4 linked regions of the Oreochromis niloticus genome follow. The protein of the gene in region 2 purifies or fractionates together with the protein of the main gene of each other region. This does not show direct contact. Links are inferred from orthologs where the notes say so. Each region holds a gene or a part of one and is shown on either strand. Other genes may lie near its edges.

Region 1 (6,840 bases), on a different chromosome or scaffold from region 2:
TACCAAATATTACATATAACTTATGTGTATTAAAAATGTATTTCTTGTATAAAAGGAGACATTCAGAACAGCTTTGGTTGAACCATATTGCTAAGTGATCTAGTGAGGCACTGGCTGTTTCCACCCAGCCTGTTTAGCCTCCTTAGAAAGGCACTCGGCCTCACTAACCAGCTGTTTCTTGGTTTGCTCCTTCAGCAGTGCGGCTGACTCCTCCAGAGATAGGAGCTGGGCTGGATTGTGATGGAGAGGGGGGAGTTTGGCAGCAGTGATGTCATCCAGGTGTTTTCTGTCCCGCTCCCTCCTGGCTTGCGCAGACAGTGGCGATGAGCCTTCGGAGGACTGACTGGGTGACGAGGATCCTGATGGAGAGACGTCACTTCTATGAGGCAGCCTGGAAACACATTAAGGTGCATATTATTTACACTCAGCTAACTTACACAGAGGACAAAAAGGCAGAACTATGTCAAACGTCTTACTGAATAAAATCTGGATTATTGGAGCATTTTTGTTGGAAATGTTCAGGAAGTAGTAAATAAAGTCCACTCACTGATTTGGTTTAAATTTTTGCTTCCTGGGAGCTGCAGACTTCTCTGTTTTTTCCAGGACAGTTATATAGTGAGGCTTCTTTGGTGGTTGCTTTCTGAGAAAGTAATTGTCTCTTGCACTGCTGTTTAATGGCTCTTTGGATTCGCTGCTGCCACCAGTAGTAGTTCCAGACACCGTGACCCTTTCCAGGGCCTCCACAAGGTCACCCTCTTTTGTTTCATCAGAGTTCACAGAGGCCCCACGAGCTGCCGTTTCCATGGTTTCCACAGCAGTCGCTCCGGAGACAAACGACTCTCGTTGCTCGTCCAAAGTGTGGTTTTGTTGCACTTGCGCTGAGGCAGGTGAGGTCTCGCTCTCCTGTGCAGCAGCCTCATTTTGCCTGTTTTGATGTGAGGCTGCTGGTGTGATGGAGGCAGCACGCCGGTGAGCAAAAGCCTGCTGGTACTTGGACTGTAACTCTGTCCTCGCAACAGACACTAGGCTTCGTCTCCTCTCCTCCTCACTGTGATCATCAATGGCAAGACGCACTTTATCTGCAAAGTCTTTTATCTTTTTCCCTTTGTCAGGTAGAGTCTGCAATAACCTCCTGCAAACAACACAAACGTATCATTGCAAAAATATTCTACAAACAATATTTCGATACACAACCAGAGCCACACTAAATGTCAGACACATACACGTCTGTAACCCCTCCCTGACCCCAAATAAGAAAAAGTCTTACATGCCATGTTTTCCTCTTAATTGTTGATAATGGCAGTCAAAGCTGATACTAATGCAGTGATGATGATCTAAAGCCAGATTTACCAGCATGTTGCACCAGCACAACTGGGTTTTGGCATTTAAAAAAAGTATTTAAAAAAGAGTTTCTTTGTCAAGGTGTGAAATATAGGGAGTAGAAAATTTAAATAAAGCATAAAATCTGATTTACCAACGCCAGCAACATGTGTTTTACTACAAACTACATATTTAGATCTGAAAAAAAAAATTTTTTTTGCACCTTATTCTGAAATGACTGCACCCGTGTTTAGAAAACAGCCCCACATTTTTATTTTAGTTAAATAAAATGTTTCGGTTTTTTTACATCTAGTTTTAGTTAACTATAACACAAACTTGCTGTGGGGCCATTTGAGTACAGTGAGCTTACTGTCATGTTCAAGAAACCACTTTGAAATGATTTGAGCTCCATGACATGATGTATTATTCTACAAGAAACAGCCATCAGAAGATGGGTCATAAAAGTATGGAAATGGTCACCGACAATACCCTGGTAGGCTACAGAGTTTAAATGATGCTCAACTGGTGCTAAGGTGCCTAAAGTGTGTCATGAAAATGTCCCTAACATTATCATCATTATTGTTTCCACAACTAGCTCCCTTAACTGTTCATACAAAGCAGGATGCATCCAGGCTTTCATGTTTAAGCCAATGTCTGATCGCAGCAGAAACTGAAATTTTACAGACAAGACAGCATGTTTCCAGTCTTTTATTAATAAGCCTGTACTAAGTAAAGTCTCAATTTTCTGTTCTTAGTTAATAAGAGTGTCACCCAGTGTGGTCTTCTGCTGTTGTAGCCTGTCTGCTTGAAGGTTGGACATTTGCGCCTTCAGAGATGTTCTTCTGCATACCTTGGTTGTCAGGAGTAGTTATTTTCCTTCCTATCAGCTCAAAATACACTGGCCATTCTTCTCTGGCAACAATAAGACATTTTCACCCAGTGAACTGTCGCTTACTGGATATTTTATCTTTTTTGGATCATTATCTGTAAACCGAACTTCAGCAGGTGCTGTTGACCATGTCTACAGGCCAAAATGCACCGTGTTGCTGTCACGTGATACCTTGACAACGAGTTTTACAGGTGTACCTAACAAAGTGACCGAGAGTGGTGTGTGTTTGTTTTGTTTTTTACCCCGTGTTACAGCAGAGTAGTGTCGCCTGTGCATCGTTTTTTACAAAAGCATTTCATATTTTCACCTGAGCCAAAGTGGACTGATATAAACACGTTGTCAGTAGATCCTCTGTCTTAGTTTCAGTGCATATTCCTGAACACAGAGAAGTCACTTTATCAAACCGGATCAAAGCTAACGGGATGGCCGTGCGCATAAGTGTCACGTTTCTCTCATACAACCTAAGGATTAAACTTACTTGTTACTGAGTATCCTTTCTTGTCGGAGTAGCAGTTCCTGTAGTTCTTCTTTACTCAGGTGTCCCAGGTCTCCCACCTCTCCCTGGCGCTCTGTCCACGACGAGGACATCACTGTTAGCTAAAGTAAGCTAGCTACAGCCATCCACAACAGCACGAGCCCGCTTTAAACTTCACCGTAAACACGAAGGTTTACGGTAAATCTACCGGTTGATTGATTCCTTTATTATTAGAGAGCTTCAGAAAACTCCTTAAGTGACTAATTCACTTCTTCAACACATGACACAACATTTCAAAGTGGGACCCTTCTTCTTCTTCCTGTGTGAAAAAAATAGCCCTCTATCGCCCCCACTGAACGGGACACGGTAACACACCTCTTCCCTGTAAAGACTGTGAGGCTTATTTGCTGCCCTCTGCCGGTCAAACGTGGTAACCAGCCTGGATGCAAGAGCTTTCTCTCTTAGCAGTGCGATTAGTACAGAGTCTGGACTGGGCTGGTGTCTCAGATTTTCCACAGCTGCATTTCCTGTCCGGATGTTTTCCGATCCACTTCTCACTCAGCTCAACTGACAATGAATGACCCAAACACAGCTGTGTCCTCTCCAGCCTGTGTCAAAGTTCAAAGTCAGTTTTGGTTGCAGCTGTACAGTTGGAACAAAGTCTCTGACTTTACCTTTAGAGTTCAGACTCTAAGTCAAAGTTTAAAGTTTCCCATTTTTCCAGAATGTATTATTCCAAGACCTATTTCTCAAGTATCCCAGATACTGTCAAAAAGAGAAATGCTTCTTTTTTCACGCTTATCCTTATTAATCAGTTGTAATCAAAGTAAGCATTAAGTTTTATTATTTTAGTCCTGCCCTAATCCTCCAAAATGTTTAATTTCTTCTTCATCCCTCAGCTTCTCTCTGTCACCAAAGTCTTGCTGTCCTCATGCAGTTTCACACATATGGATGCACGGACATCTCAGCTGAAAATCAAAGATTTTTTTTTACTTCTTTCAGCCCTTCATAGCACTAACCTGTAAATTATTCTTTTGTTGTAGCTCTTGTTATATCAGCTCCACATTCCTGATCATGACTGGTGTGGGCAAATATCATGGCTCATTTTGATTACTCAATGCACAGCTCATTATGCAGTGAATAACTTGCAGCAACTACAAATTGATAATTTAAAGATATGTGCACATGCAATCATAAAAAGCCCTAGAATTACACTGTAGACACACATTCATGCCATTCATGCATGTTTATATAAAAGTGTGTGACTAAATAAAAGAAATACAAACCGATTTTAAAAGACTCTTTCTTGTAAGTGCAGCCATCTTGTGACACATTCAGGATCATTTGCACAGTCTTTATTATCCAAACAGATGCTGGCCTCTCATCGTTAATCGCAGTATTATATGTATCAACGAGGAAAAGGCACATCATAAAACTATTTCAAACACAGCTGTGGCAGTACAGATGACACCTGGATAACACTTGTGCCAGTGGCTCAGGAACGGCAGTCACCTTATTAAAGTTAATATCGTTAATAACAGATTTCTCAAGAATTTGCCACGTCCTATTTTGCCATATTACCCTGCTTCCAATTAAAATAGCTTTCCTTCCACCACCAGGACCACAGAGTAGGTTGTCACAAAGGCACAAACCATAATAATAAATATTATATTATCAACAGTAACAAAATATCATATGTTTAATTTGTACAGAGCACATATAAAATGATAGGAAAATACACACAATAACCATATCGACCTTCATATAGGACTGAATGCTCATAGCTCAGTGAGCAACATGAATAGAACAGATTCACTGTAAACGGAAGAAATATATTCCATATTATATCAGTTAGAAAAATATTTTTTACATAGCATCACATCATTTACATCCTACAGCAAGCTACTTTTGTTATTATTAGAGCTATGTGCAAACATGGGACAGAAACCCACATAAGACTTTTTTGCTTCACTGGCCAAAAATCATTATCTCCGACATAAATAAGTGAGATATTACTGACATGGATGTGCCAGCTTTAAAATTATGTAAAACAGATTCTTGTGTTAGTACATTTTTAAAGGGATATTTGTGAAAATTAGACCAAAGACAATCGAAGTTTAAGGGGAAAATTCCACACTTTGGTCTAGTTAAGATTAACGGCTCTGATTGCATAAGTAACCCTCTTATATTCACTACATGGACATAAATATTGGGCCATTCTTATTAATACTTGAATTCAGGTGTATAAAGTCAAATACCTGGCCAGGCAGTCTGCATGTACAAAGAATTGGTTGTTCCAAAGAGCACACTTTAATGCTACTGTTGCATGGGTTTACATGGCAGAGCAGCTCCTGTAGGTGTGCTGTGTGTTGTGTCTGTTATCCCAGTGTTCCTGTTGTCCCTGCATTATCATAATAATGTTGGTCCAGGATCAACATTGCAACTGACCAATCACTTTGTGTTTTATTAAATATTTTCTTTATAAAGTTATGCAATGTAATAAATACATTATCAAGTTAGGTTGGCTGTTAGCTAACTGGCATTAACAAGCATTAGCTAGGCATTAGCCAAATTCTAAGCTAATGCTCGGCTAACTAAATGCTCCTTTGTCATTGGTCAGGTGTAATGTTGATGCTGGATCACCATTATTATGATGATATAGGGACATCATCAACACGGGGATATCAAAACGTGAGTAATGTGCAGCTAGGTTGGTAGTTCTGTCCACGTAGTTTATTTACATACTATTATTTCTTGCATAGTGAGTCAGTGGTATTCTTGAAGCACACTAGCTGATGTTTTAATGGCTTACCTGACTTTACGTCACTGCGTTTTCACTTTTAATCCTAAAGTTAATGTTACTCTATGTTATACCAACACAGAGTAATGTTATCATATTACATTATCAAAATTTGTTTTTAAGACTGTTATTTTTTACAATTTGCTGTCAAAAATTTTATGGTAGTATAGTATGCAAACGTTAAGGTCAAGTAAGAGAATAATAAAAGATGTTACTACTGCACTACTCCAACCAGTTTTTTAATACGCTTGTCTCTTTCTCAGCACACATAGACTGAGTTAGAGGATACTATTATTTAGCTTTAGCTACATATTTACTGTTGATATACAGATTAGCTCTGTACTTAGCACTGATACAAAAAAATAGAGGAAAGAGAAAATAAAATCCATCTGTCAACAAGTTTAAAGAAAAGTAATTAAACTGTTAACTCGTGTTGTCATCCACATGGAAACGAAGCCACCATCTGACAGGGAATCTGGATCAAACTAGTTCGTAACTGGGGACAATGACTTCCATGAGTTTCTATTCATTTCCAGGTTTTTTTCCTCTCCCAGTTTGATAAAATGTTGTTTTTACTCTAATTTCCCGTTTTCAGGCTGTTTTTATTGCTTATAAAAAGAAGTTTGTGCGTTACTTGTTTACCCTGTTTTCAGTAATTATACTAAGCTAAATGGCTTCATAGTTTCATTGACTCTCCTTGATTAAGTCTGGGCTCATGTATTTTCCAGGACTGCTCCTTTAACTTTACTCTATGTTTATCTTTGCTGTCATTTCCATTAGTTTCATGAACGGTGTATAAACTCGCACTCCTGATCGTGGTCGAGAAGAAGGTGGGGATGAAGTGGACTCCTCTGGTATGGAGCATGTGCCTCTGCTTGTTTGTGCGTCCAGCTCGTCTCCTCCAGGCTGGACCGGACTGACACCAGCTTCAGACTCAGATGGGTGGATGTAGGAGAATGTCCCACGCTCCTGTGTGGGGTTGGAATCCAGGAAGCGGCTGTACTGGACAGGAGTGTACCTTAGTAAACTTGACTCTAGCCTGCTGGGGGGAGGGTTATTAAGCTTAAACGTCCTTGGCTGAGTGGGCAGTGTTAGGGAGAGCGATGGATGTTGAATGGGAGGTGATGATGAGGGTTGTGCCAGGGATGAGGGCGCTATGGAGGAAGGGTTTGGTCTAAGTGATAGAGGATGAGTGGGTGATAAAGGCTGTGTGGGTGACAGTAGTTCAGTGGGTGATGGGAGTTTCACAGGTGATAGAGGATGATCAGGTGATGGGGGTTGGATGGGATAGAGATGAGTTGGTTCACACTGAACAGGCTCAACATCAAACCTCTGTGCTTCATGTCTGCAGAAGCA
Region 2 (7,688 bases):
CCCCTCCTTCAGACAGAAAAGCATAAAACTCCCACCACACTGCACCTCCAGTCCTTAAACACTCACTCCAGGGGACTGATAAGTGACGTTGCCTAAACACCTTTTGCAGCATTAGAGAGAAAGCTTGCTGGGCTAACCTAATTCAACGGGGCAAAACATCATGACATGCAATCACGCATCACTTATAACTCCACAGTTACAAAATTTCCACTAACAGAAGGGAACTCTGAGTCTTTTAAATGACTGGAGAGGTCGTATCACCACTTTCACCAGCAGCAGAGAGAGACACATGATAAACAGGAAGCAGCAGAATACAGGTGGAGTTCTTCCACCCACAGCAACAGGTACCAGGTGATGATAGTAACGGGTGTTTTTCCTCAAGACACGACAATTTATGCCAAAACATCTGGAAGAAAACATCCAAATGGAGTTTGTTTCAAAGCAGCTGTGCAAACATTAAGGCCAATGAGCCCGATGTTTACTTTAAAAACTGTGGCGTTAGATCCAAGTCATAAGTGGGACTCAATGACTCCCTACAGCCAAATATCCACCTTCTCTTAACACAGCAAAAAGCTTATTTTGTTGCTTTAGTTATGTGACTTTATTTTATTTTTATGGTCACATTAAAACACTCAAAAACAGACATTACAGATACTTAACTCAGCAGTCAGCTCAGATATTTTAATGACCACCCAAGTATACACACCGACTTGTTTCAGCATTTTCTAATATGATGCTTCCCCCACTAACTGGCTCAGACTTCACTGCCATTCAGCTGTTCCCACAAAAAGGATCTCTCGCTACAGCTGGATGGTCTGCTGCTCTCTCCTGGACTCCACCTGGCAAAGGTAGTTCTACTGCTGTAAAGATCTGCTGAAGAGCCACTTTAACCACAAGCTACACCCTATAGCTCACCAAGCGTACAGAGCAAACAGGGCCTGCCGTCTCCAGCTCCAGTCCAAGATAGTGGAGGTGGATCTCAATTGAGGCAGCCTATTTGATCCCTCTGTTATTTATTTTTGACAAGGTACTGAAAAAATTAGAATTAGGGAAACTGCTTTTTGCAAGCACACGCACACGCACACACACACACACACACACACACACAGATTCCCCTCCATGCCACAAACAGAAATCAGTAGGACACTATATTCTGCTATATTCTGGCAGAAGCCATGAGACACTTTAAAACTATACAAAAGGCCCATGCATGCAAAAATAATATAGAGTGAGACAGGTAGATTCTTGCTGGTTAACACGTGTGCACATACTTGTTCTCCTCTCTGATCACACTGCCAGAAACACTAAATCACAGCACATTCACTGGGAATTCAGCTGTATTTAAATACAGTACATATGAACTCAGACATCAGGAGGGAAGATCCACAGACCCAGGCTACACTAAGGAGTCCTCTCACATCATCAACATGAATGAACAGCTTTTACAGGCACATTTTTGCACAATTCATGGATGCTGTAGTAATGTTCACTTCCCCTGGTGTGATTACAAACCTTGTTTCACTATTGTAACTAAACCGGATTGTTTTCATGTACATGCAGATTGCAAGGGCTTTAACAACACTCAGGAAATTAAAGGGTGAATCACTATATTATTTATAGGCGAGATTACCTACCCCAAGTTGGAGCTTGTCTGAACTATTTTATACACTCTCTGAGTGTGATCTGTAAGACACTAACTACTTATCACAACACTGGAGTACAAAGTATATAACGCTGATTAAAGGTGTACTGAGTAGCCTGTCCTAATGAATTTACATTAAAAGCCTGAAGTTGTTCTCCCTGTAATATTAAGTAAAAGCCATGACTTTCATCAAACCCCAACAACATCACCTTGAGCAAAGTCAGAGCACCCTGCTGAATTTAAAGCACTGCAAAGACAATCCAGAGCAAGTCTGGACTCTGCTCTGAAGGTGTGCTGATACTGATCTGTACTCTATGCATCAAGGAATTAAAATTAAATTAAACATAAAACCCCGATTCTAACACTGCTCTGCGGAGGGGACCCTCATTTTGAAGGTGACATGCTGCAGGCACTGCAACCGAAACCAAGACAAAAACCAGCCAGAGGTGACCCGGTCTGAGTCAGAGTGACTAACCGGGTGTTGGATTGCCAGAATATCCACCTGAGGTCTGTCTCAAGGCTGCAGATAAACAGACGAGAGCTACCAAAACAAAAAGCGCACAGCATCCTCCGTCAACCTTGTGAAAGAAGCTGGAGGCTGCGCAGCGTTTCTTGGCCGCTGTGAGCTGTCTGAACTTCTCAAGAACCGAGAGAGGTTTAAACGACCCTGACAAACTCTTTTATCGCTGCCGTATAAAATACCTTTGGCTGCTGCGCACACAATACAAACGCGGAAGGTGATCAAGCTTTGTATGCATCACCGTCAACGACAGACGACCAAAACGCTAACGCTTCTGGTCATGTTTTCAAAATAAAATTTCCTGTTTCGTTTTGTTTGAATTTGTTTGCGTTGAGAGTGCGGAGAAAAAAAACAGCAAATTAATCCTTTTATCAGCAAGATGAAACTGGCGAAGGTGATCTTCTTCTATTGAAAAACAAAAAAGTATTAGAGACTCACAATTTATACACTGATCTTTAAGAATCTGAATATTTCAGCCGAACTCTAGTCGCATTTATTTCGAAAAGAAAGCCAGCACACTTCCGCTTTGACGCAACTAAATTCAGCCAGTTTACCTAAAAGAAGCTAATAGCTAGCCAGCGAGCTTCTTGGTGGGATTTTATAAAAGGACATGCGGATAAAACCCGTTCTAATCACCTGACAGCAACTAAAGCCTCGCCCACAGCCTCACGGTTCTCCTCAGGCCACGGTACACGTATTGACACGATATAGTTTAGGCTTAGGTGTGATCCTGGACGTACCTTTTTCAGCTGTGCTCCGCCGCTATCGCTAGTGAACTTTCATTTCCGCCTCAGTGACAGTATCACGTGACCTAGGGTATGGCGTTCTCATTGCACAAAGGATTGTGGGTCGAAAACAATAATAAACAGCCCACACAATTACCTTAAATCACCTTCAATCAGTGAAAAACAAACAAACAAATGTGAATTTATCAATAAGTTTCATTTTTCGTACAAAGCCTCATATACAACGAACATGGCTGAATCAGGCTGAATATATATATATATATATATATATATATATATATATATATATATATATATATATATATACATACATATATTATGGCCTCTTGCTTTCTTACAAACCATGAAAAATTATTAAAATATGGCATGAGGAAAGCATACCCCTACTTTTTAATAAATTTGTGTATCTCTATGTAGTTTACATCTTTATCTAAGCTCTGAATGATCCCTGGTTTGATCCCAGGAGGAGACACAAAACCCTAATCTTACTGAAAAAATATGAAGTTTGTTCGAGGTCAAATGCTTAGCCAACCTTCTTACTCATGTCCCCCACATCCTAGTATGTTGTTATGAAGTTTGAAGACGATCCTTAACAAATTGTGGGTAATATAAAGCTTTTAGTGATTTTTACATTTGGTGGGACCTTGACCTTGACCCAATTTTTTTACCACAATTAAATCAGCTTGAGCTGTTTTTGGCATCTACCGTCTCCCAAAATTGAAAATAATATCTTGAAACTGCATGAAAAGTTATAAGTTTGAAAATTTTATTTTCTGTACATTACCCCAACTCCCACTCTCCTCCTTCAACTGTAAATATCCTGATTGATTAACAAACTGTTTAAACCTGTACTGTTTAAGTTTGCACTTTGAGTCCACCTGCTTTCACTTGCATCCATGACAGATGGTAAGTGCATTTGAAAGGTCTGGGGAACCAGCTAACGGGAGCAGTGAGTATCTGCGCAAGTGGGAATTTGTAACTGTGTCCTTCAGCAGCAGGCGGCAAGTGAGCAGGTAATTTTAGTGTTGAACAGGCTGTATTCCTTTCAGATGGCAAATGTTAATCCACAACAGAACCTCCCGAGAAGAGGAACCTGATGGGAATGTTGATATATGCATCTAGGATCTAGGACAAGGAGATGAGATGAGGCTAAGCAACTCAGATGGCTTTATTTGAAAATGATAGCCTGAACAAGTAACAATCAGAGGGGTATACTACAAACAAAATTCAACAGCGCCAGTCTATCTTTGTGTTAGCTGCCTCGACAAAACCTAAAACCTCAGTCAGAGATAACAAGTATCATGATGGAAGTTATAAACTTTCTGTTGAACTTCGCTTTCTGCTTTGGATTCTGTGCACACTCACATAAGAAAAGGCAGTCTGTGGTTCTTGTGATTCGGTAAACTTATATAAATGAAGGCCTCTTAACCACACGTTGATGTGGCGGTGTCCTAGCAGCAACCTTGATTACAGCAGGAATGGTCACATCAGGAAGACCTTTACAAACTGATTGCAGCTGAGTCACCACCTCACTTTGCTGTCCACATTCAGAAAGCATGAATGAACAAATTTAAATAAAGAAACCTTAAATAGTCATTTATTCCAATATTATCAGCATGATGTGTATGCATAGTAGCATAACTCAGGTTTGGTGTACACAGAATAATATGTATTGCTAAAGTGGAACGTCAGGCATGTGCAGCGTTGCCTCACAGATGAATTCTCAGTCCAGTCATAAATGCAAAAGTGTAGGAATATCTGCTAGACTGCCTTCACTCAGTCAGTGAAGCTGCAGGAAAACTCTCCGCTCTGATGTCAGTGGCGACTGTGACGGGCGATGCTGACGGTTAATGTGGAGGCTGACGTAGTGGTCGTGAAAGTAAGTGGTCACAGCTAGAGGAGGGCCCAGCAGCAGGAACAGCCACACTAAACCGTTGCCATAGTTTCCCTGGAAATAGTTCTGGAGGAATACCGCAACCAAGAGCTGCAAAGAGAAGGCATGGTGTCAGCTCAAGACATGCCCCGATTATAGCAACACAGTGCATTGTGTTAGGTGTGGAAGGCCAAAAACAATAAAGTGGATCAGGTTTAATTAATAGGATTAAGATTTCACCGTGTAATCTATGTCTCCATTTAAAGCCTTTTTGCATTTGTTTATAGAGTGTTAAATAAAAGGGTATAGAATGTATCCATGAATGATTAAGTTGGATCCCCACACAGCAGCTGCTGCTGCCACTGGTGGAATAATCTCACCTCAAACACCATCATGAGGAAGATCCACAGACGGCAGCTATGCAGGGGCAGAGCAATCATATACTGTGTAGGAGAAAGAAGAGAACCATCACAGCTCATTAGTGCTGTAAGTTTATCCAGAGGTGCCAGCTTAATTCTATTGCATAGAAGTGGGCTGCAGTTCAATCCTAATCTCAAATCTCTTTTCCTTTTCCCCAGTGGGAGAAAAAAATCATGAAGTCAAGAAAAAATGTGAAGTCTGACTACACTCCAGAAACCAAACTACCTAATAAAGTGACGGTGGATGTCACTGACGTGGGTCAGCTGTGGTGAAACTACAATGTCCCACTGATGGACTACAAAAACTCATCTCAGACTGACTGCTCTGTGTGTTTCGTGCAGCTTGTAGGTTATAAACATGGTCATAAATCTCACTTAATTACCAATGTTGGAATGTTTACATTCACCAGTCACAACCCTACAGTCCGCTCATTTTCTCGTGTATAGAAGATAATCCATTTTCAGTTAAGATAAGATAAGAAGAACTTGAGCATACACATGCTAAATGCAGCAAGAGAACCAGAGGAACAGAGGAATAAAGATATACAATAATATACAATAAGAATGGTAGGATGCAGTAATTTACAGTAGTATACAATAGAATAGTGCAAATATAATATCACATAACTCTAACAAAATGGCAATATAACTATTTCAGTAAAATAAATAACATAACAATCAGTGCAGGTGATTATAAAAAAAGTGACATAGTATTGTGCAATGAATAAAAAGAGAGTAGCAGCGTATGATGGGGGAATGAAACAAACATTCAATTACATACTGTTAAGTAATATTGCACAATCAGAATGAGAACAAAATAACATTGATATTAATCCTAAGAAATGTCACCCTTTTATAAAAGTCTTTCAGCATCTGTCACTGATGTAAAGTCAGTTCATAAGAATCCTAAAGGCCAGAAATAGTTTTACAGCGAAAACTTAACCGAAGTGTGAAAACAGATATTTTTAAATCTGAAAACATGAGTTCAGCAAGTCTAAAATAGTTCCACATTTACTTTTAGCTTCACATGGGACACAAACCAAAGTTTCTGGGGCTAAAGGTCAATGTTTGGTCCTTGAAAGGTCACCTGCAATCATGGAGTATATGAGATCATTCAGAGGTAACTTCTGGGTCGGAAATGGGAAGAAATGCTGAAGTCCCTTAAACCTGCATTCTGGTTAATGACCAGCAGGGGTAGCCACTGGATGTTGATTCCCCTTTACAGTGTCTCTGGCCAGTTCTGCACAAACTTAGTCTGAACGTTATTAAATTGCTGTAACTTATGCTAGATTCCCCGTTTATTAAATACTAGATTTGTGGGACTAAATTCAATAAAGCCAAGGCCCTGACGTTCAAGCCCTACGCTCTATGGTTGCAATGATGGTCCTCTAACACCTTAAATATGATACTGTAGACCAGTAAGGTAAGAATCAGATGCTGCCATAAGCAATGGTGCAATGTATCCTGTGCCAAAGGAGCTAAGGAAGCATTAAAAGCCCCTTTCCAAAGATGTCAGAAGAATGGACTGTACCTCACAAAGGGCAGCAGACATCAGGAAAACCAGCAACTCAGCATGTGATGGGGAAACATTCCTCTCCACCAGACGAGTGTAGATGTGTCTTTTTATGCATAAAAAGAAAAACATGTAAGCAAAAAAACCCCATGTCAAACATTCAAGCACACAGACCAAAAAATGTTGATAATACCTGTGACACCACCTCTGAAAGGGAATATTCCAGTTCTTCCAGAAAGCAATCAAAGTTGTAGCGTTCCTGTAGATAAAATATAAACTGCATTGATCCTGAGATGCAAAATTAACACAAATTACAGTAAATGTTCTGTACAACTGACCACCAGTCTCCATAAAAATGGCGATCACCAAAGCGCAGCAGTTCTGCGCAGAAGTTCAGGTAGGAATGAGTCAAAAAGAAGAAGAGGAGCCAGAGGAAGTGGGTCGGTGCCTGACAAGAAAGTATGTGTTAGCAATGCCAATATGTCACACATACAAACTCTTATCTCTAAGAATCATGGACCAAGGACAAAAAAAGTCACTAACCACCAGTCCCACGAGATGCTCCACCCTCGTAGTGATGGCCATGCTCTGGATAAATGTATACAACGAGAAAGAAGGGTGGACTCAGCAGGGGTGGGAGCTGCCCTTGTTTTAATGAGCACACTTTAGAAGGATCATGTTTCACTTACAGAGAATGAGATTTCTGATCTCTGGAAGATGGGTTCAATCCACTAGAAGGAAACAAAGGATTCAAGAATCATGAAATTCAACTTGGTTCTTGAAGATAATCGTCATTGATTTCCATGACTCCCTACTCCATGAAACACCAGCTGAAGATTTTACGCATTTATAGACAGGACATTAAAATCACTGAGAGGTGAATCAAATGCACTGATGTCTCTTTGGTTCCTCTTTGAGGAACACGATAAAGAGTCAAGACCCCGTTTTCTAAACTCCCGAGGTCATAGCCCAGTG
Region 3 (7,719 bases), on a different chromosome or scaffold from region 2:
TATATTTGCACTGGTCATTTTGCACGTCATTGGTGACGTCACCACAGTTCTGTATCTTTTATACCAGCTCTTAGGGCACGAATATACACTACAGTAGTGTCCTGAACAACAGGTGCTCCCACTCAGAGAAAACCTCAACACCAGCGATGATATAAGAGAAGTGAAAACCAAGAAGTGAAGAAATTGCAAGCTTTCTTTTTAAAGATTTTCCTCAGAAAGACAAACTTGCAACATTTCTCTGTATATGCTTCTGTACTCATAGATCATTTAAATGGTGGTAAAAATCACCACAATGGTCAACTCGTGTTTTCAACCTGCAAACAAACTCGAGAGGCACATCACCCGCCTGAAACGACACCATGCACCAGTGGATTTAATGATGAGCATATGAGGATATGATGAGCCATGCAAAAAACAAAGAAAAAAAAACCCCCAAACACAAATGTAGTATACTGCGTGCTGTCTTTTCAACAACTTAAATTGAACTCAACATACAAAAGTATGATGTTGAAGACTCAGCTTACAAAAAGTACAATTATTGATGAGATTATGATCTGTGTGATTGACACAATCTTGAATTTAATTTTAAATGATCACAATCACCAGTGAACAGTTACAGTGATACCTTTAGTTGGGTGAATTGGTATGCTGTTCTGCTGACTTGTGTTGATCTAATAGGGAGTACAACATGCTTGCCTCTAATGTTTGAGCCAGATACATTCACCAAGTTTACAGTTAGCAAGAGCAGACTGATTTGATGTCACTGCAAAGCTTGAGGCAGTTTGGGTTTGACATTCAGCTTCATTACATGTCAGATTTATCAACTGAAAATATTGACTAAGCATGTGCCGATATCAGATTTTTGCTTTAGGATTGTAAAGGTTTAAAAAAAAATTAAAAACCCAGCATGTCATGATTTTCACTTCATGATTATTGTACTGAAAAAAAAAAATCCTGATTAACAAAATGATTGCTTTATATGTAAAAAGTTGGAAGGAAAAAAAAGGCGGCAAACTTTAGTTGCCTTGTGACGCTTGAAGCTATGCAAGTTTTCATTTGAAACTCATTTTGACTCTGCGTCAGTAGGACTGCATTCCACAATTCTGATAATCTGCTTAAAATGATGTTTTTGAAAGGTGAATCTACCATTTGAAACCTTTTCCATGAAGTAATGGTGGTTTTCGAACAGTGGTAAAACACCTCGACAAACAGGGGAAACACCCTTTGTGATAAGTAATGATATCACGCAAGTTGAAAAGCCAGAGGTGACTAACAAATCTAAATAGCTTCTTTAAGAAGCACAGTCACAGTGAAATCTGTTGGTTTACCACACCGATAGACTTCTGAAAAACTAAGATCTTGGCCGTCCCAACCGACTTTTGAACTTCCACCAGCGCTGGGTCAGCATACAAGGCAGGGAAGTGAATGAGCGGCCGACGACTGGCTCAGAATCAAGGACAAAGCATAACTGCACCCCCGCGCATGCACAGGGGATTACATAAGATCTTAACAACATAGCCACAAGCCTCCTCATGTGTCCAAATACACCCGAACCTCACAGCAGCAGTGCCCCATACCTGTAGTATTATTTAGAAAGGAAACAGAGCAAGAGATGACAGTGTAGGCATACTGTGATGAACACTGGGTTTTTTATTAGTATATTTTTTTGTTTGTTTTCACAAACCACAATATCAGATAACTCATCTGTTTGGCTATATCCAAGCCATCCTTGAGAATCCACTGTATTGTGCTAGAGTTTCCAAAAAAAAAACCAAAAAGAAAAACGGAACTTGGTGTGAATCGCTGCTTTGTTCAGGGCTGAAAAGTTTAAAAGGACATTGCTGATTTGCCTTGGCTCATACCGAATCCTGTGGGATTATCAGCCATAATACCAGAACAACAAGGCACAAAGCATACTTTATCTCCCAAGGTTCATAGCTGACTCCAAAGTTTTACCAACACTGCTGTTACAATACATTAACAGAAGGAACAAACTCCACATGCTTAGGCCAGTTCAACCAAATAAGCCATACTCTGAGGCTGGCATCCATTAATGTCTTTGACTAACAGTAGTAGCATTAGTTTTTCCCTGCATTACTATATCATTTTATGATTCTGCGAAGACATAATATAAGTCATATTTCTAAAAAATTAGTTCGTTAACACTTATTTGTCACCGTCATTCTTTTCTCTTGATTCGTACCAGCCCTTTAAGCTGCGGTTTAAGCCGGAAATTCATCTTTAAAAAAATACAACCAGAGGGGAAAAAAAGAGGCCCTCTTACCACATTTAATATGAGCCAGCTAATAAACCCCTATGCTAACCACTTAACTTACAGCTAAGCTTCTCAGAATTTATGCTGCCAAAAACTGTGTAACTACACCTCTGTTTGAATGTCCACATGTAACTACAAGTTAGAGAGTGTATTTTATGTGTGTAACGCTGTTAAAAGCATTTTCACTTAAACGGCCTTCGCGACTAGTCTTGGCTGGCCAGCGTTAGCTGGCCACGGAAGTGGCTAATCAAAGGCTGGGTACCATAGCAAAACTAATTTAGGGGAAAAACGAAGTAAAACACAACAGTTGTGAAAGTTTGCTTTTTTTGCGGCTTTTTGTCTGTCCCACATAACGCATTTTAAATAGTCAATACAAACAATAAGCATTAATTTTTTTGGCAAGGGCCTGGTGCCTGTGACGGGTGGCAGGCCGAGCTATCAAACGGTGTTTTGATCAGCTTCCACTCACCACTTGGTATCGGCTCGCTGGGTCCATCTTCGACAAGGTTCAGCTGGCTAAACGAGCCAGCCGGTGAGAACTATCAAAAAAATAAGACTTGGGTTTACTCCGATGTGTGAGTCACGGACAAGAGATGTTGGTTCCAGAAACAACGCTGAAGAACCGGATTCTGAGCGATGAAAGAAATGGCTACAACCTACAATGCATTCACAGAAAAATACCGTTCTGTGTAAAAACCTTCACCCACTTTCAAGCTAGTCTAAAGATGTCACACTTCCGGTTACAAATTTCAAAATAAAATGTATATAATCGGTATTGCGCATTAATGTTATTATTACGTTGTTGTTGTCGTTGTTGTATTCATCAATGCATATATGATCTTCTACTTATCTAATTTACCTTACGTTTACACCTAAGCTTTAGAGTTATTATCATTATTATTATTATTATTATTACTGTTATCATTATTGATAACAACCATATATTAGCATTATATTTTCATTCTAAGTATAAAAAAAGGTAAAATTAATATAATATTAATATCTAATACACTCTGTTTCTATCCGAAACCAATTCTATCCGAATTGTTAGGTAGTTAATCTGTTGGAAATTCCTGTGAATGTGATGTGTTACTGTCTTTTAACGTTATTCAGTTCATAACGTTTTAAGATGGCTGTTCTATTTTTACTTTTCTGTACCATTTCAGACCACCGTCAGCGCTCGCTAGACGCTTTATTTTGAAGGCGACTTCCTCTTGTTCCAATTGTCGTTCGACCAATTGAGTCCTTCCTCGGTGGGTTGATCTCAGATTTCCAAGGATTGAGAAAGGGTGATGACGCAAATACAAAAATAAATAAATAAATTTGACGAGAGAAACCACTAGGTGGAGCCAAAGTCCTCTTATATCTCTGAACCACAACGGCCCATTTCCATCCATAAAAAAGAATCTCACATGCCTCTGTTTATCAGAGAAGTATGGATTGCATTTTACAAAAACACAAGTCTCTGGCAGTGCTTTACATTTTACATTTTTCTGAAGTTAATGATTGAAGTTGTCAGCAGAACAGGGTCAAGGGGAAGATTTTGGCAGTAAGCCTATCGGCTTGGGTGAGATTCCCAACTCATTGCCATAACTCACGTTGCAGTGCAGTGAAAACCTGGCCTTCGGTAGTGAGACGAATGCCTTGGAAGCGCTGAATATGTGGAAATGAGGATTCCAGGCTTGACAAAACAATCGCAGCTCAAGGCCTACGTTCTCACACTATCAGCCACCAACACCATCCTGTTGCATGACTAAAAACAAGGTGAACATAAAATAAGATCGTTATTCATTTTCACCAAAAACCCTGGAAACTTCATTGCTGCAGCTTAAGAAGTGAGATCCCTCCTTGTTTAACACAAATAAGCAGGTCCTGAGCTATCAAGCACCCCTATCAATAATATAGATATCATCTCTGGTATTGGTATTGCATTGATACTGGAGCGATAGGAGCGATACTTTGTTTCAATCTTCTACGTTTAACACACTGAATTGTGTTAAATAAATTATTGTTATTGGTGAGTCATTTCATCAATCATGACACACTGGTCTCCCCTACATAGACTACATAAATATCGGTATTGGTATTGGCATTACTGACTCTGTACTTACTTGGTATTGGATTGATACCAAAATTTGCAGTACTGCAAAACACTATCAAACACACACAGAGAGCAACCTCAGATAGATTTCACCCTCTTTGCTCCAGGATGGGAGTGCATTTAGACAGCTCACTGTCTAAAAGAAACATTCCACTATCCCCACCATCAAAAATCATGTTAAAATATATGTGTGTGGATATGATCAGAGGGGAGGCGGGGTAAACTCTTTACCTCCATTCTCAAGTTTACTCCGTCATGTGGTCTCGCCTCCCCGGCTAATCCTGGATCAGCATTGGATTGGATCAGTGCATAACAGGCTCTGGTTGATACCTCTATCAATGCAAGTGCTGGAGTTTCAAGGATAAAGCACAAACAGCTTCAGATACTGTTGCAGGGTGAATTAAAAGCAGTAGCTTGGTCTCTTGTCGAAGCCTAACAGACCAGAAGGAATCATTAAAACAGAGCACTGAGGAAATGCTCTTTTGATGCATTGATAATAGATTTTTTTCCCCTCTCCAAACTGCTATACGTGCATTTTCCCTCCACACGTATCATTTTTTAACCAAAGTGACTGGCTCTGCTGCACTGAACTCCACATCACTACATCTGCTCTGATCTGTTGCATTAATACATCATTGCTGGATTTGCCAAAAAAAAAAGCAAAAACAAGGTTAAACAGAGCGAACAAAGAAGGCACGGGGAGGTATTGATAAAAGGCTCTTCTTGAATTAAATATTAATCCCATTCACTAAGAAGAGGGATTACTGTAGTACATGTATCAGTTAAGCGGCTCATGCTGAGAGAGAAAGGGGATGGAGGGAGTGGGAGAGGTTGGAGAAACTTGTGAAAAAGGAAAAAAAAAAAAAAGGGGGGGGGGGTCGGGGTAGAAGCATCATAGAGGTTTGGGCCCCATGCAAGGCGATTAGCAGCATTAAGGATTGAACTTGCAGCAGTGATGGATGAGTTCCTGTCTGCACCTTTACTGCAGCAGCAGACCTGCATGAGAGCGAAAAACACTGGAATTCATTCGCCCAGCACGCTGTTAGAACCCCACTTTTAGAGTCAATAACAGCCCTTCAGGACATCCATCACTGACACACACCCACACCTACCCACACACCACCATCCCCACCGCCACTGCACAGTTGGGATGTTGTTACTTGGCAACATCATTTCAAGGTAAATAGGTGCTATAAAAAGGTGTTATATAAAGAAACAGTGGGCGTCTCTGTCAGATACTGCAGCTTTTCAGCGTGGCAGACTCATTCTCATGCCTGTGAAAGCTTTGCTGTTTCACTGGAGGTGAGCGCTTTGTTAGACGCTGATGGAATCGTGCATTACAGGGGGAAGACATCTGTTTAGTTTCACGAGGATACAAGCGGCAATTTAATTGCCAAGCTGCCGTGCATTTGGGGCTGAATTTGCATTTTATGTGTGGAGAAGTGGCAATAGAGGAAGGTTTTAATATACTTCCAAATACGATGTATGCACTGTGAGAAGAATTGTTCATAATTCTTGAGCATATTTCATGTGAGGAACGGAATGAAAGTTATTTACAGGGTTGTGGGGTGTGTTTGTGTGGGAGGGAATCTAAAAGACGACTCAAACAACAATTTAAAATTGTGTTATCTAAACTTGCCAAGTAGGAGAGAAGATACATTCCTGTAGGTGTAAAACCACTGTTAAAGCCACAGCTAAAACTCCCGAGGTGCATTTAAGCAAGGACTCTCCATTAAACTTCTGTGCTTTAAAATGTGCAGTAGGTTATTAATAAAATAGACATGACAATGAACACAAAGAGATTCAGACAATTTAGTGGGCTACTTACTAACCTCAGAGGATAGAAACAAAGTATCAGTCCTATCGTGCTACTATCATTCCGATACCAATACCAACGTTGGTATTGATGCCATTTGGATCGATCTGCCCACCTTTAGGGCCCACCCAATCATAAATCTTCAATTTAACCAACAAACAAGAGAGAGTGATGTATTTCCTTGAAAATGTGGTTTAAAAAAATATGAACAACACAGACTGTTGCCTGTAACTTGCTAAGGCCAAATTATAAGCCTTAATTTGTTAAGACCGATGTGTGACCCACTTGCACTTGTACATAAAGTTCAAAACAAGAGGAGTAAATTTGGGTCACAGTAATGAGTAATATCACAAACTAACCACCTCTTATTACTGGACTGAATTCATTTTTATAGAAATAAATACATTTATATATGTAACTGCAGATACTTAATAATTTGCAGATACTTAAAGTAATTTCAAAGTGAATTTCTGTTAATACTGTAGCTCTTCTAGTATTGTGTGCAGTACCTTTGCACCACTCCACACTTTAGCAATTCACTGCTCTGACATGTGGAGCTAACTTTGGTAAAAGTACTGAGAATAATGACAATACAGTTCTGGTTTTGATATAGAGCTTTTTTACCTGAATACTCAGAGAGCTGTATACAACTTCCCTCATTCACCCAAGCACTATTTTCTGCACCTAAGTTCCATCTGTCTAATATTCACACTCTGATGCTTATTAGGAGCAACTTGGGATTCAGTATCTTGGTATCCAGACTGGCCCAGGCAGGGGTTGAACCACCAACCTTCGGATTAGTGGATGATCGGCTCTAGAAGGTGAGCCCAGGCTGGTATTTGACTTACTTTAAAGGTATTGTAGGTAATGGTGTTTTGAAATTTCACCACCTGGGGGCAATGTTTGACCAGAAATTTCTAGTATTTTTTGCCCATCCTGGTTGTAAGACACAAAAGGCAGTGTTTGGTGTGAGAGTAGGGGGATGGCGGTGCAGGGGTTAGTGCTCTTGGCTCAGTGTTGCTTCACTGACTGAAAGTACTGAATTTCAACCTCCTAGTGGGCTGGCATCTGAGTTTGTAGAGAATTTTGACTGTAAGAAGCAGAAGAAAATGGTTCAATCTAAGAACTATGAAAAAAAAAAACCAGTTACGGTCACCCTGTTTTTTTCTTTTAGTGGCCTTAATTTTCTTTCACATGCTTCCTGCAGAGGCATGTATTGTAAGTTAATTGAGGATAACAGGGAAGGACTGGCGACCTGTCCTGCATGTACCCCACCTAAGCTCGATGACAGCTGAGAAGCCATTGCTCCGACCTGGCATTTGCATGAACTCACCAGTCTAAAAGAAACATTGTGCATTTCTTTGGTGCTGATTGTGGCAATGACCAACATTGTTTATTATTGTTTCCTTACTTCAGACAGAAGCATGCAGTTCTCCCAGGTACAGATTGAGATTTATGGGCATGAATAGTAATTAACAATAATTCACACGCTTCCTGCTGTTGTGCCACATGTATAAACGCGCACAA
Region 4 (7,498 bases), on a different chromosome or scaffold from region 2:
TCTGTTCCTCTCTCTCCCTCTCTGTTCCTCTCTCTCTCTCTCTCCCTCTCTGTTCCTCTCTCTCTCCCTCTCTGTTCCTCTCTCTCCCTCTCTGTTCCCTCTCTCTCTCTCTCCTCTCTGTTCCTCTCTCTCTCTCTCTGTTCCTCTCTCTCTCTCTCTCTCTCCCTCTCTGTTCCTCTCTCTCTCCCTCTCTGTTCCTCTCTCTTTTTTCTCTCTCTCTCTCTCTCCCTCTCTGTTCCTCTCTCTCTCCCTCTCTGTTCCTCTCTCTCTCCCTCTCTGTTCCTCTCTCTCTCTCTCTCTCCCTCTCTGTTCCTCTCTCTCTCCCTCTCTGTTCCTCTCTCTCTCTCTCTCTCCCTCTCTGTTCCTCTCTCTCTCCCTCTCTGTTCCTCTCTCTCCCTCTCTGTTCCCCTCTCTCTCTCTCTCCCTCTCTGTTCCTCTCTCTCTCTCTCTCTGTTCCTCTCTCTCTCTCTCTCTCTCCCTCTCTGTTCCTCTCTCTCTCTCTCTCTCCCTCTCTGTTCCTCTCTCTCTCCCTCTCTGTTCCTCTCTCTCTCTCTCTCTCCCTCTCTGTTCCTCTCTCTCTCCCTCTCTGTTCCTCTCTCTCTCTCTCTCTCTCCCTCTCTGTTCCTCTCTCTCTCCCTCTCTGCTCCTCTCTCTCCCTCTTTGTGCTGACAATCAAGCCAAACACCAACATCATCAAATATACAGTGGAAACCAGATATTTACACACTCTGCAGATAAAAACACAAACACTTTAATTGTAACATCAAATCAGACTAAATGATTATTTTTTTTAGATTGATAAATATAAAAAACATATTTGTTAACTTTTGTATTTTGTATTCAAAACTGAGCCACACTTATGGAGCTCCACAGTTCTTTTCCTGGTGTTTTGGTTGACATGTCTTGATTTTCCCATGTCAAAGAAACAGGCTCTGTGTTTTGCCTTATATGCATCCACAGGTGTGCCACCAATTTACTCACATGGACTCTACTAACCAATCAGAAGCTTCTTAAGCTCAGAATGGAATTGTCTGGAGTTTCCTTATTAATTAACAATAAACTTAGTGTATATACTCCTAAATTTGATGAAAGTGATTAAAATAGACAGCTCCCTCTTTTTATTCTGACATTTAACTAATTCAAAAGATATTTCAACATTTATTTATCTAAAACAAAACAAGTTTACTCTAAATTGATGTTTAACAGTAACAAAAAAAGTTTATGTTTTCTCCCTAAAGTGTAAATATCTGGTTTCATCTGTGAATATACTGCTGTGTATTGAAATTCCTCTTGTCTTGCATAGATATACTAAACAACATACAAAGCATAATATATAAAATAACATCTACCTGAGTTTTTTCTTTAAAAGAAGCTCCTTATGTCCATTCTTGTGTTCATCAGTACACAATTGAAACCGATTTAGAGAGTTTGTTTAGCCGTGGAGGGTAAGAACTGAAAATATGAAATGTAAGCTAAGACTTTCTAAAAAATCAGCACTGTCGTTCGGCATTTTATTTATCCATTTGTTGATTCACTCAAAGAGCAAATAACGCAGTAATATCGGTTTGATATCAATCTTTTGTGATACACCGTCATATTTACATTATTTGTACAGTACGAATGATTTGTTTTGGTACCTGGTCAAACTTAAGCTCTCCTCTGTCTGCAGCAAACTTGCAGGCAGCAGCTTCTCCCCCCTCGCTCACATGGGTGCTGTGCTCAGTCGCCTAGTGCCTGAGCTCGGATCATACCAAAATTAGGGGGAATTTACGACGGTGCGCTCTGTGCTTCGTGTGTTGTTTTTGTTTTATACAGTTGTCAGTCAGGCATCTAACTAATAAATTACACTCCAAAAGACCCCATGCTTCTGAAAAAATGACTCGAGACCAAGACCGGTCTCGAGACATCCAACTCTACTGTTTATAAGGTTGGGGAAACCTGCGGTCAGCTGAGCCTGAAGAAGTCACCTGGGTGAGTGATGAAATGTTTCTCCCACTGAAAACATCCAGATGAACAGAATCAACTTTTTGCTTACCTAGATGATTGAGCATGCATCAACACACTCATTTGTTATCTTGGCTGTGTGGTTAGGAACGTTGTCCTGTTAGAAGATGAACCTTTGTTCCAGTCTGCGATCCATAGAGCTCTGGACACATAACTGCATTCATCTTTCCCTCGACCCTGACTACTCTATCAGTTTCTCAGTTCCCTCTGCTGAAAAACATCCCCACAGCATGATGCTTCCACCACCGTGCTTCACTGTAACGATTTTATTGGCAGGCAATGAGTGGTGCCATGATGCTTGGCATTCAGGCCAAAGAGTTCAACCTTTGTTTCATCAGACCAGAGAATTGTGTTTCTCGTGGTCTGAGAATCCTTTAGGTGCTTTCTGGGAAACTCCAGGTGAGCTGTCACCTTCCACTGAGGAGTGGCCTCAGTCTGACCATTCTACCATACAGGCCTGATTGGTGGAGTGCTGCAGAAATGGTTGGACTTCTGGAAGGTTCTCTGTCCACAGAGCAACACTGGAGCTCTGTCCGAGTGACCATCAGGTTCTTGGACACCTCCAGCTCTAGGTAGAGTCCTGGTGGCTCCAAATATCTCCCATCTATGCATGATGGAGTCCACTGTACTCATTGTACTTCAGTGCTGCAGAATCTTTTCGTACCCTTCTCCAGACCTGTGCCTCAATACAATCCTGTCACTGAGGTCTACATACAGTTCCTTGGATTTAATGGCTCGGTTGGTGCTCTGACACCTGTCCATAGTTTGGACCTTACAGAGACAGGTGTGTACTTTCCAGATCATGTCCAGTAAACTGAATTTACCACAGGTGGACTCCAATCAAGTTGTAGACACATCTGACAGATGAACAGTGGAAACAGGAAGCACCTTAGCTCAGTTTTGAATGTCACGACAAAGGCTGTGAGTGCATGTAATGTTTTTGTTCTTTATTTTTAAGAAATTTGCAAGAACATCAAAGTCTTTTTTTAACTTGTCATTTTGTGTGTAGAATTTGAAGTGAGAAATGAATTTAATGTTTGAATTAAGCTGTAACATGAAAATATGAGGAAACGCTGTGAATCCTTTCTGGATGCACTGTAACTTGTTTCTGTGAATGATTGTTGTTGTTCTCTGTCAAAGCCATGCAGTCTGCTGATGCACTGTTGTTGTCTGACCCCTTTGCAAAGACAAATTAAAACCTCAGAGTGACAACCTGTTTGTGCAGATTCATTTATGTCAAATTTCCATAACATGGTATGGGGCATTTTAAAATGTTTAGTAAACCAAAAAAGTGGTCCTCATAAGATAAGTACGAAAATATTCAATATAATATGTGTATGATATACAGAAGCTGGTTCATTGGAAATAACTGTTAAATGAGTGTGATCCGGTCAGCCTGTGAGGACCCCTGCTTAACCAGCTTCTCTTTAATCCCACTAGCATGGCTAAATCTGTGGTAGCCTAGCTTATAGCATCAACTTGACTAAATATGTTCATTCCTCCTGATGTTGACTGCGGTTGGTGAACATGTGTGTGTGTTAGCCAAGACACGGGGAGAGAATGTGTGATGTTGCGTTTGTCCCATTACAACACAGTGATATGGGTCCAAGAAAAGATCTGCACTGGGCGCTAATAGCTAATTCAAATGTAATAGAGTTGAATAAAGCAGCGCCACCTTCTGGTGAAGATGGCCTACATGTACTGACCTATATAAAGATACAGTGCAGATGTCACAGAGCCCACTCTGGTCAGAAATCCTGCAGCCGTAAACTGACTTCACAGAAATGACCAAGAAGCTGAATGGCAGATGGCAAAGCTAAAATGCCAGTAAGTGAAAAGAAGTAATGTAAAAAAAATGAAAATCACATGATGAAGAAGCAGCCCTGAAGCCCACCATAGAACTGTGGAGCAGTGGTTAGCACTGTTAGCTCACAGCAACAGGGATCCTGGGCCTCTCTCTGTATACAGCACTTGTTTAATGATTGATAGTAACGCATTATTATCGTCACAGGGTCGAGGCAGGGCTTGAAACAGATGGTGCTAAATGACTGTATGTGGATTTGGGCTAAATGACGTGAAGCAAAACCAACATATGTGCACCTTCTCACGAAATTCCGACAGCACTTAAATGTAGCAGAGCTCCGCTGGGACGGACAAAGCCCTCTTTGTCACTTCTTCCCCTTTTTCAGCTTTTTCACTTGAGCCTCTGATTGTGCCGGGAGTGTCCCAGTGAGCACATTTAAACTTTTATCTTTAAACTGTGCTCGTTAAAACACCAAGTCGCCATCCTAAACAGCCATTTCAAATAATAATAAACTAACACTTGATCGTGTTTCATGACACACTTCGGGCGCAGAGTTGAGCTTTTAACTTTTTCCTGCTGGTTAGACCTTTGTTAGAGCCCAGTCTGGAGAGCAGGAGAGAGAAGGAGGGATTTCCCTGTTCCAAAAACTTTTTCATCCAGTTTCCATTAAGGAGGGGGAGGGAGGATGGACATTCCTCTCATACTGAGGCCAGGCGGTGTGTGTGGGGGGGGGAGGAAGGGGGTGCTTCCTGCTACTTCTCATGTACCGCTTCTTTCTTTACTCTCAACATGGAAAAAGACTCCTTGGCCTCGAACAAACTCTTTTTCCCGGTGAAAGAATAAAAAGCCCACGGTGACGTCCAAGATGGAGCGGCTGCAGCAGCGCGTTTCGTAACTTCAGGAGGGTCGGTGCGTGCCGAGGAGACACGACAGATCAGCAGGAACCGAACAAAAGAATGTTTCATTGGAATCAGGGGCTCGGAAAGTAAACCAAGTTCTTCAGGTAAATCATTTACGTGTGTGTGCGCACATTAACCGGATGCTCCGCTTATCTTTGTCAAACTGTTTTAGTCCTGCTGTTGTCATTTTACGACACACAAAACTAAACGGCTGAGAAAAAAAGACTTTCAGCTCGTCGTTCGTAAAGCTTAGATTGGCTTCGGACTCAGTCATGTGTGCTTTGAATTAACTTCAATAATCAGTGCCAATTCACTGACAGCGTGACGTGTAGGTGGGTGTAGCCTTTACTGCATCCTGGCCTTATCAGCAGGATAAGTTAGCTCTGTATGACATTTGAATGTGAACGTGGGGTCCTTGGAGTGGGTCCAGTCTGAAGTGGATGACACAACAGTTGTTTTGCATTCACAGCGTTGTACTGTCAATGATCACATGCGCACAGTAATCTGCTTATGTGACATTTGTACCTCAGAGTGAGTAACAGTGCAGTGAACAAAAACTAAACTGTAAATCTAAACTTTAACTGACCAGATAAACAAGAAAACTCACTCTATGGCTTTTTGCATAGTAAAATTTTAATTGGGAAATCCATCCATCCATCCATTCATTCATTTTCCCAACTGTTTATCCAAATTGGGCACGCCTTGTCCCACGAGCCTGCCCCAACCCTTACAGGGGGTTCGGCATTTCCACATAGCATCATCGCTTTAGTTTCTCTGTTGACACACACAGACTAAATTCTGATAATTGCCATTTAATTTAAGACTAAACAAGATTGAGTTTAATGATGAAGATTAATTTGTATTTGTAAAATATTTGAAATTGTAGCTTTTAAATGAGCTTGAATTGCCATTAATCACAGAGACTAGGACAGGGGTGTCCAACTCCAGGCCTCGAGGGCCGGTGTCCTGCAGGTTTTAGATGTGTCCTTGATCCATCACAGCTGATTTAAATTGCTAAGTGACCCCCTGAACATGTCTTGAAGTTCTCCAGAGATAATGAACTAATCATTTGATTCAGGTGTGCTGACCCAGGGTGAGATCTAAAACCTGCAGGACACCGGCCCTCGAGGCCTACAGCTACAGTTGGACACCCCTGGAATAGAAGGTGTAGCTGTACAGTCACTGGTCCTTTCTTTTGATTTGAAGATATTTGTTAACAGCACTCTTCAAAGAAAGACATTTGCTGCTCCAAAATTTGGAGTTCAGCTTGAGGTCAAAGGGGGAGTCCATCCGAATGTCTAATGTTAGGGTAAGAGTTCCTTTAACTGAAGGGGCCGGGCCCAGCTCCTGTAAAACAACCTCGCACCGTGATCCTCGCTCCACCAAACTTTACACTTGGCACAGTGCAGTCACACAAGCATTGTTCCCAAGTGTAACACTGAACTGGCAACTAGCAGAAGTAGTGAAGGTAGATGACTTTAATCCCTGGGGTTGGGAGGTCAGAGGTAGAGACTAGCAGCCGGGTGGTTTTGTGACGGAAGGATCGCAGCTCAGGAAAAGGGAGGATTTACAAAATGGTGTTTAGATCAAAAAGATGGGAGATGGAGCTGTTCAAGTTTTCACTGCGAGTGAGCAGGATGGACAGGACAGAGCTCGGGCTGAGATGGTTTGGACGAGAGCGGCAGCTTATGATTATTTTAGTAAACAAGTATTCCATTTCTTTTTCGAGTAATCGGATAAGACATAGTTTTGTTTTAATAATCAGCAGTAGTAAATAAAAAAAAAATACAGGTCCTTTAAAATAAACTCCTAATTGGTTTTCATGCTAGAAATGTCAGTGTTCTTCATAGTTTAACTAAATAGAAACTAAAGGAAGTGAACCCGCAATTGTATTTACACACATAAAAGAAAGAATTCTGAGAATGAAATGTAGACATGAGGTCACAGGTCAAATGTTTGGATGCAATGTTGGATGTGATATTTGGAATTCCCATATAAATGTTACCAATCCAACCAGAGGCACTGGAATTTAAAGCATAGTTTTAAAGTTAAAAGACATTTTATGAAGGTTTGATCTTATTTGACCTTAAAGAAGAGGTCAGAGGTCACATTGTAATGTAACTCCTGTATCTTTACTGTAGAATTGAGTAAACCAAACAGTGGTGGATGGGAGAAGCTCAAAGGTTTGCTGATCAGTGGTTTGATGGAGCACCCAGCTTTTCCCTGTAAAGGTCTGAATGGTTATGACAGTAAGAAGCACTGCTAGAAAAATGTTTTCACTCCACCAGAGCTCGTTCTTGTGGTAATGGTTACGACTTTTTTCTCCTAATCGTTTGTGTGTAGACAAACTTCGTGTTAAACTGTGACGTTTATTTTCACTACTGCTGTTGTTTTATCAGCCGTAGCAGCCAGTTTGCTAACATGTCAACAGTTTGCTAATTGACCGGGATCATAGTCTGACTTACAGCTGGTAACCCTAACCCCCACATACAGTTTACCCCTGTTATCCTTTGTTATCCTAGTGCTAACCAGGCCTGACCCTGCTTAGCTTCCAAGATCAGAAAAGGCTGGCTCCAACTTTTAATGTGCTATAACTTGTTTTCACCAGCCACATATCCCAGTATGTACTGCACCCGTGTGTTGTACCTGATTCTTGAATATTGTATCTCACAGTTTAAATATCTGCGGTTGCTTTAGCATCATTCTGCTTGCTTCTTTCATTTTATGTGTCATGAACAATCTGCACTGATCTTGAGTAACATCTGCAACATGAACGACTGACACTTAGCAC

Evidence for each region.
Region 1: the proteins of wwp2 (region 2) and polr2m purify together in Homo sapiens (affinity purification with mass spectrometry, with the first as the bait; 3 studies listed by BioGRID). This does not show direct contact. The link is inferred for Oreochromis niloticus from reciprocal best matches to the Homo sapiens genes WWP2 and POLR2M.
Region 3: the proteins of wwp2 (region 2) and ndfip2 purify together in Homo sapiens (affinity purification with western blotting; 3 studies listed by BioGRID and IntAct, with this or other methods). This does not show direct contact. The link is inferred for Oreochromis niloticus from reciprocal best matches to the Homo sapiens genes WWP2 and NDFIP2.
Region 4: the proteins of wwp2 (region 2) and amot purify together in Homo sapiens (affinity purification with mass spectrometry; 3 studies listed by BioGRID and IntAct, counting the BioPlex papers as one, with this or other methods). This does not show direct contact. The link is inferred for Oreochromis niloticus from reciprocal best matches to the Homo sapiens genes WWP2 and AMOT.

What each region holds. Positions count from the first base shown.
Region 1 is NC_031965.2:22,183,079-22,189,918, forward strand, and holds the start of polr2m (protein GRINL1A), read right to left. Parts: upstream 3,022-6,840; 5' UTR 2,798-3,021; coding exon 2,688-2,797; intron 1,133-2,687; coding exon 548-1,132; intron 392-547; coding exon 169-391; intron 1-168. Other genes in the region: myzap (myocardial zonula adherens protein), read right to left, coding at 6,229-6,829.
Region 2 is NC_031972.2:4,827,377-4,835,064, reverse strand, and holds the start of wwp2 (NEDD4-like E3 ubiquitin-protein ligase WWP2), read right to left. Parts: upstream 3,011-7,688; 5' UTR 2,903-3,010; intron 2,823-2,902; exon of another isoform or gene 2,799-2,822; intron 105-2,798; exon of another isoform or gene 101-104; intron 1-100. Other genes in the region: diacylglycerol O-acyltransferase 1, read right to left, coding at 4,689-4,892, 5,162-5,224, 6,732-6,819, 6,907-6,972, 7,052-7,161, 7,257-7,301, 7,403-7,444. UniProt on the Homo sapiens protein: E3 ubiquitin-protein ligase which accepts ubiquitin from an E2 ubiquitin-conjugating enzyme in the form of a thioester and then directly transfers the ubiquitin to targeted substrates.
Region 3 is NC_031986.2:7,771,841-7,779,559, reverse strand, and holds the start of ndfip2 (NEDD4 family-interacting protein 2), read right to left. Parts: upstream 3,004-7,719; 5' UTR 2,772-3,003; coding exon 2,745-2,771; intron 1-2,744. UniProt on the Homo sapiens protein: Activates HECT domain-containing E3 ubiquitin-protein ligases, including ITCH, NEDD4, NEDD4L, SMURF2, WWP1 and WWP2, and consequently modulates the stability of their targets. As a result, may control many cellular processes.
Region 4 is NC_031975.2:392,305-399,802, reverse strand, and holds the start of amot (angiomotin), read left to right. Parts: upstream 1-4,496; 5' UTR 4,497-4,811; intron 4,812-6,848; 5' UTR 6,849-6,910; coding exon 6,911-6,938; intron 6,939-7,498.